2 linked regions of the Danio rerio genome follow. The protein of the gene in region 1 interacts with the protein of each later gene in a pairwise test. Links are inferred from orthologs where the notes say so. Each region holds a gene or a part of one and is shown on either strand. Other genes may lie near its edges.

Region 1 (3,517 bases):
CATCCCAGCGCTGGACAACTTCTTGGACAAACTATAAAATCCTTCAGATTGTACATGGTGATTCAAGCTATTAACCTTACAATGTTAACGTGATGACTCTGAAGTATGGCATAATGTTTACACAGAAAAATCTATCAATAGAGCTTAAATTAAATATTCAAAGCTGCACATAAATAAATCAGCAGCAAACAGAATCTGAGCACGTTAAACATGAGTGGATGTGTCCATAAAGTAAAGCCAATACAACACTGCTATCTGGACTTAATAAGTCAACTTTAAAATATATTTTTCCAGATGAACATGAAATAGCGCTCTTATCACTGTGTATTGGTTTACATGTTTTAGGATGTATATGTATCATCTCGAACTCTGGCAAAGAACCCAAGAGTCTAAACAGTTCTGCCTGTGCCATCTTTAGTGGAGAGCTACACGCATAAATAAAACTTCAGCCCTGACCGGAAAGGACAATAAAACACTGTATCAACATTTACAGCACATTATTAGTTGTTGTTGTTTTTTTACATCCATCATATGATCATCTTTATTATATGACAAGGAGGAACTAAAAGAAATAAACAACTCCTCACATGCCTTCAGCTCGCTGTACAGCTCACAATTCAATAAGATCAACTCATGTCTATTAGGTAAATTGCCATAAGCAATAAAGTCTGATATTGAAGACAAAACATACGCTTGCATTGTGCGATTCATTTCCTATATCAAAACATTGAAGGATTTTGTTGCTTCATTTTTATTACACATGTAGCTGCAGGTTTCCCATCCAAAATCCATAAATCCAAAATCCCATCCAAAATCCCATCCAAAATCCATAAAATTAGACAAACGTCAGTTACAAATGACAGTTTCTAATGGGAATATGTTAGATGTGTCGAGATATCAAAAACAACTTCCTTATAAAATTAGATTCCAAATCTGATGGCTCCGTAAAGAATAACCACAAACAAATGAAAAACTTTAAAAAGCCTTAATATCAGACAAGTGAACCTCGTAATATACAACAAACATTTTTTATTGCTTTTTATTGTAACAAAAATAATTGCACTGCTGAAATAGACGAAACCTAAAATGAGCTGCCGCTGAAAACCTCATTCCATTTCAACTGCAGATCCGTTGACGCAACACAAGAGTGACTGAGACTAGAGTGCTGTTTTTTTTATGTGTCTGAGCTTTCCAGTCCACTTAGTTATGCCATTTATTTTGCTTTGCGAAGAGTCATTGTTTAACTCATAGATTCCCCAATTCAGGAGACAACCGCTTGATTCAGATTTGAAATTTAAAACAGCATTGTTGCTGACCAAGATACATCATTCAGAGACCTTCATGGCAGTCCTCGTAAAACAAGATTCTTGAGGTCCATATTCAAAAGGTAGAATTGTTCTTTGCTTGCCTCGAATGCAGTTTGTTTTGTGACTGGCTGATCACGCTGCGCTAACATTCAGTCCAGGGAGATAATGTCTGATAGACCTGAAGATCCTCCAGTGATGACTCCTGTCTCATGACTCGAGCTGCTGCTGTGGGTTGCTGTCTCGTACTGAGCCGATGAGGAAACCAGACTGGCGCTGGTGGTGGCACTCTGAAGGCTGCTGGAGAGGCTGTCTAAAAATATGGGCCCTCTGAAATGCTGCTGAAGAGACCATAAAGAAAACAAGTGGTTAACAGCTGTGAAATCATACCGCATGCAATCCCAGCATTGCTTTTAAAGAACATACCTGAGGATCCCCTTGAATCAGAGAAAATAAGTCAAGACCTTTGGGAAAGATGTGTACAGTAGGACAAAAGTTAGTATTCATGTTAAAGCTAAAGCCTGATTAAAAGCATTCTTGGCAGACTGGACAAGTGCGTACTTTGCATATCTGTGGGAATAGTGGACAAGGAGGAATGGTGGAATGGAACAGAGTAGTCCGCTATTGAGGAGGTCAGGTATGAGGTGTCCAGCGACTGGACATTTGGCACCCGAACAGTTGATGGCTGGTAAGTCAAAACGCTAAAATATAAGGAATCAAAACATTACAACTGTTAAACAGGAAAAACAGCTAAAGTGCTAAAAATACTGCTGATGGGATTTAGAATAAAAAGATGAAAATGTGTGCACTTAAATGCAATTGTAGGGGCTTCCCTTTCAAATGCAAATTTATGGAAAGCCAGCATTTACATCAATTGAGCAACTAAGTTTACCAAGGTTTGCTGTAGTAAATTAACTGGTAATTGCTCTAATATTTTACGTCCAAATGAAAGATACAATTTGCATCCGTGACGTAAGTGGACTACCCACAGCTGATTATCATTGGCTTTGTTTGGCAGGCTAATTTGCTGTGCTGGTCATTATGAAAATGAGCTGCAGCATCTGCCCTTTGAAACATTTTGGCTCTTAGAGTGCAACAGAACATAATACACTTTCATTTTTAAAGATTTGATATATTCACAGTCAGCGTTGGGGAAAGCTTCTTTAGAAAGTAATGCAATACAATATTGATTTACTCAACAACAAAGTATCTAGTTGTGTTACTCAGCTACTTTTTATGGTAATAATGCGTTACGTTACTTTTGAGTTACTTTTTTCTAACTTGGATGAGGCTTGATATGTTTCAGAACTTGCAGGGTTTTTTTTAATGGAGGAGCTCTGCAATGAACAACACTCTGTATATCCTTCATTTACCTTTATAAAACACATTAAAAAACTCCCTGACCGAGAGCTCTAGATGCTGTATTTAGATTAATGAAAACCTAAAGCAATGTGTTTTCTACTTTTGTACTTTTTGTCTTCTTACTTAAGAATACTTCCATCGCAAAATATAAGGCTTTGCCATCTTCATTTCTGCCTGTTCTCTCATTGAGAACAGGATTCAATGTGACTACGTTCATTTTATTTCAGCTATTTATTTTTTTTAAAGCAAATTAATTAAACTAAAAATTAACTTGCATTACTATTTTCAAAAAGTAACTCAAATATTATTACTGATTTTTAAAAGTAATGCGTGACTTTACACGTCACTTAGAAAGATTATTATGTAACTCACATTACTTGTAATGAGTTACCCCCAACACTGTTCAAGCTACTTGCAATGGTTTATAAATAGCATTTATTTAATTTATTTGCTAGTATTTCAAGTTTTCCCACCACCACAATGAATAATTTGCATTTAGTGTACAGTTCTGGGCTTCTTTAAAATGTATACACAAAACTCCAACACTTAAAGGGATAGTTCACCCAAAACTGAAGATTCTGTAATCCTTCACTCAACCCTTCACTTTGTCACAAACCTGTTAAGAGTTTCATTCTTCTGTTAAACACAAAATATTTTTAAAAAATCTTAAAAACAGGTAATCCATTGACTCCATAGTATTTAGTGAACCATACTTTCATTTTAGGGTGAAATACCCACTTAAGATGGTGGAAAAAGACACATTCGATCAGATTTGTCTGATCATTTGATTTGATTTTAGTAAATCAACACAAACAAACCCTTTGCTGTGCATCTCCTCAGCCTTTGACATG
Region 2 (4,568 bases), on another chromosome or scaffold:
CAATTAGTTTGTGGCTGAAATGGGAAAATCAAAAAAAGTTTAGCTTTTACCCAATTGCTCTCGCCTGACCAGTTTAATTAAGTTACTTCAAAAAGTAATTACTAATTATATGGTTTAAATTGTATTTAAATTACTTTTCTAGCTTATCTAAAATGTAACTTATTTACTCAATAAGTAATTAATTACTTGACTCCATTTCAAAATCTGCCTAATGAAATTGAACCCTTAAAACGGCAGGTGTCATCACACTTATTCCTGGAGGGCCGGTGTCCTGCAGATTTTAGCTCCAACTCTAATCAAGCACACCTGAACAAGCTAATCGAGCTCTTACTACGTATGCTCGAAACATCCAGGCAGGTGTGTTGAGGCAAGTTGGAGCTAAACTCTGGAGGGACACTGGCCATCCAAGACCAGTGTAGCAGTCGATTCTGGTTCCCCCTCTACAAAGCAAGTCCGCTAACAGAGTCTGCAGACACAACCCCAACACAACTAGGTGTACGGAAAGCCAAAATGGACATTGCTTTCATGTCTTGCAATGCCAAAGTAGCTTAATAAAATGAATCTAACTCTCCCATGAAGTATTTTTTTTTGGTTCTTGTTAGTATTATTAACTTTTTTTTTAAATGTTTGAGTTTATGCACCCTAGTTCAATATTGCGTGAAGGCCTACAGTTATATTAGTCCTTTTCATTTTCAAGTTCAGAAAAAATATGTACTTTTAGAACCACTAGTCTGCTTTCTGTACACCCAGTTGTGTTTAGGTGTCTGCAAAAGCTGTACGAACACCCTTTGTAGAGGGGGAACTGGAAATCCAGAAGGGAACAGAATCGACTGCTACACCGGGAGTGGTGACCCCTGCCTTAAAACCTTTATAAAACCTTAGCTTTATAAAACTTAAAAAACAAACGCCTAACTTTTAAACAACACATTTATCATTAAAAAACCAAAATCTTTTAAAGTAATTGTACAATATTTGATACATATACTAACATTATTTCTGAAAGGATCTAGCCAAATATATTTTTGTATGTAATTTTTATATTTTTAATATATTTTTAAAATGACTAAACTTATTATTTTTAAGAAAACAGATCCAACAGAAGTCTTGAATTTAGTTTTAATCTCTATTTTATTGGCAAAATTGTACATACACAAACAGGAATTGGCTAAATCATCTCCCACATTAACAGTTTTCTGTATCTAGTTTGACTTTATTTCTGTGAAATGATTGAAAAGCAAAAAAATCTGAGATATGTATTAACTATTATAACACTTGTTTGATTCCCCTGTCAGTTTTTAAAATCATTGGATGTAGAATTTCTGTACACTATGCTTTGTGTATTCATTTTAATTAGTTATTTTTATTCATTATTATATATTTATCTATAAATATTTTTTTACGATTATTAAATTAGTTTTTTTGTTTCATCTTTTATATTGTGTTGTATGTTTGTTCCTGATAGTTATGCAATACCAAAATAGGCTAAAACACCTCAATGAAAATAGCAAAATAATAAAACAACAGCACTAAACCAATGCTGTCCTATAATGTATTTAGAGTCACAATGCTGAGTTTATAATCTTACATAATAACCACTTTATAATATTGAAAAATATGTGCAATTTTGAAAAGAAAAATGTAAATGCGGATGAAAAGAAGGTGCTTTGGCGGTTTCTGTGATCGATTCTTTTGCCTAGGGAATCTCTTGAAATCTGCGATCGACCCTTCGGGTATGCTGGTTTTCAAGATGGCGCCGCTCTCATCGTCCACACGTGAGGTGTTCAGTGAAGCAGTTCGGGCTGTTTTGGAAACTTGGCCGGTGCTGCAAGTTAGTAAACTAATAGCATTTGTGATCGGAAATACATATCATATGATACCATGTCTGCAAAATCTATTACGTAAGCTTCAGTCTGATATGAATCGGCAAGCAGACTGATATCAGGATGCGCTTCACAGTGTAAACATGTCTGTGTCGCGATATTTCTTTCAGCTGCTCGTGTATATATACATATACATACATATATATATATATATATATATATATATATATATATATATATATATATATATATATATATATACATATATATATATATATATATACATATATATGTGTATATATATATATATATGTATATATATATATATATGTGTATATATATATATATATACATATATATACATATATATATATACACATATATATATATATATATATATATATATACACATATATATATATATATATATATACATACATATATATATATATACATATATATATATACATATATGTATATATATATATATATATATATATATATATACATACATATATATATATATATATATATATATATATATATATATATATATATATATATATATATATATATACATACATATATACACACACAGTAAATAATGTGTTTTGTTATTAGATAGCGGTGGACAACGGCTTCGGTGGAGCGTTCAGTCAGCAGAAGGCGGAGTGGATGGTGGACGCGCTGCAGCAATACTTCACCGACAACGGTCAGAGCGCTGCACTCAACACCTTAGCAACCGCCAAGAAACCCACGACTGAACATTCTGTCATAATTTTCTCACCCTTCACTTGTTCCAAACCAGTTTGATTTTTTTATTGCGTTAAACACAAAATAAGTTATTTTGAAGAATGTTTGAAACCAGTAACCACTGACTATCCCAGTGTTTTTTCGTACTCTGGGTGTCAATGGTTTTCAGGACTCTTCAAAATATCTTTTGAAGCCACTCGAGTGTGAGCTGGTGAGGGTGTGTAAATTGTTCTATTTTAGTGAATTGTCTCTTTAAGAGCTGACAGATGGTCTGTTTGTGTCCACAGGTGATCTCCAGCAGGATGAGGTGGAGGACTTTATCTCTGAGCTCATGAACAATGAGTTCAACACAGTGGTGGATGATGGCAGTCTGCCTCAGGTCTGTTGTCTTTTGGTCTTGACATGAGAGATCTGAATGAAAGCTAGCTGGAGGTGTGTGTGTGTGTGTGTGTGTGTGTGTGTGTGTGTGTGTGTGTGTGTGTGTGTGTGTGTGTGTGTGTGTGTGTGTGTGTGTGTGTGTGTGTGTGTGTGTGTGTGTGTGTGTGTGTGTGTGTGTGTGTGTGTGTGTGTGTGAGAGATTATTATCATCTACCTTCCTTTCTATATTTTATCTATTTATATCATACTATCTGTTGTTCTATCTATACATCTATCCATTGTTCTATATATCTTTTTTATTCTATCTATTATTCTATCCATTGTTTGATTAATTTATTGTTTTGATCCATCTAACATTCTGTCTATTATTCTGTCTATATATCCATGTCATTCTATCTGTTGTTCTATCCATATATCTGTCATTCTGTCTATTGTTCTATCAATCTTACATAGACATAGCTATGTCTCTATCTCTATCCATCCATCCATCTATCCATCGTTTTATTGATCTATCGATCTTTCATTCTGTCTATCATTTTATCTGTTGTTCTATATATTTATTATTCTATCTGTCGATCATTCTATTATTGTTCTATCTTATCGTTCTATCCTCATTTTTCATTCTGTCTATCGTTCTATTGTTTTCTCTGCAGAGCTATGTCGTTCCATCTGTATATCTATCATTCTAGCTATCGTTTTATCTATTGCTCTGTTGTTTTAGTCTATCGTTCTATCCTTTGATAGATCTATAACGTTATATCTATAAGTCTATTCATATGTCTATGTTATTCTATATATCATTCTCTGTATCTATTGTTTTATCGATCTATCATTCTATTTATACATCTACAGTTGAAGTCAGAATTATCAGCCCCCTTCAATTTTTTTTCTTCTTTTTTTAAAATAATTTTCAAATGATGTTTAACAGAGCAAGGACATTTTCACAGTATGTCTGATAATATTTTTTCTTCTGGAGAAAGTCTCATTTGTTTTATTTCGGCTAAAATAAAAGCTGTTTTTAATTTATTAAACACCATTTTAGGGGTAATATTATTAGCCCCTTTAAGCTAGACTTTTTCTCGATTGCCTACAGAACAAACCACCGTTATACAATAACTTGCCTAATTACCCTAACCTGCCTAGTTAACCTAATTAACCTAGTTAAGCCTTTAAAAGTCACTTTAAGCTGTATGAAAGTGTCTTGAAAAAGATCTAGTCAAATATTATTTACTGTCATCTTGGCAAAGATAAAATAAATACATTATTACAAATGTGTTATTAAATTATTATGTTTAGAAATGTTGAAAAAATCTCTCCGTTAAACAGAATTTGGGGAAAACATAAACAAGCGGTTTAATAAGTCAGGGGGGCTAATAATTCTGAGTTCAACTGTATATCATTCTATCTATATATCAATTGTTCTATAAATCTATCATTCTATCGGTCCATCTATATATTGTTCTATTTATGTATATAAATATTCCATCTATCTCATTCTATATCATTCTATCTATATCATTTTATTTCTGTATCAGTCTATCAGTCTTATTCTATCAGTCTTGCTCTATTGGTCTCGTTCTATCAGTCTTGCTCTATCTAGCGTGTTCTATTTAGCTC

Evidence for each region.
Region 2: the proteins of pias2 (region 1) and tsr2 interact in binary tests that used the Homo sapiens proteins (3 or more experiments, as listed by UniProt). The two-hybrid records come from large-scale screens. The link is inferred for Danio rerio from reciprocal best matches to the Homo sapiens genes PIAS2 and TSR2.

Annotation. Positions count from the first base shown.
Region 1 is NC_133180.1:42,375,857-42,379,373, reverse strand, and holds the end of pias2 (E3 SUMO-protein ligase PIAS2), read right to left. Parts: coding exon 3,485-3,517; intron 2,006-3,484; coding exon 1,866-2,005; intron 1,769-1,865; coding exon 1,731-1,768; intron 1,646-1,730; coding exon 1,457-1,645; 3' UTR 736-1,456; downstream 1-735. Other genes in the region: eef2l2 (elongation factor 2), read left to right, coding at 1-37. UniProt on the Homo sapiens protein: Functions as an E3-type small ubiquitin-like modifier (SUMO) ligase, stabilizing the interaction between UBE2I and the substrate, and as a SUMO-tethering factor.
Region 2 is NC_133183.1:9,897,878-9,902,445, reverse strand, and holds the start of tsr2 (pre-rRNA-processing protein TSR2 homolog), read left to right. Parts: upstream 1-1,734; 5' UTR 1,735-1,747; coding exon 1,748-1,828; intron 1,829-2,441; coding exon 2,442-2,532; intron 2,533-2,860; coding exon 2,861-2,952; intron 2,953-4,568. UniProt on the Homo sapiens protein: May be involved in 20S pre-rRNA processing.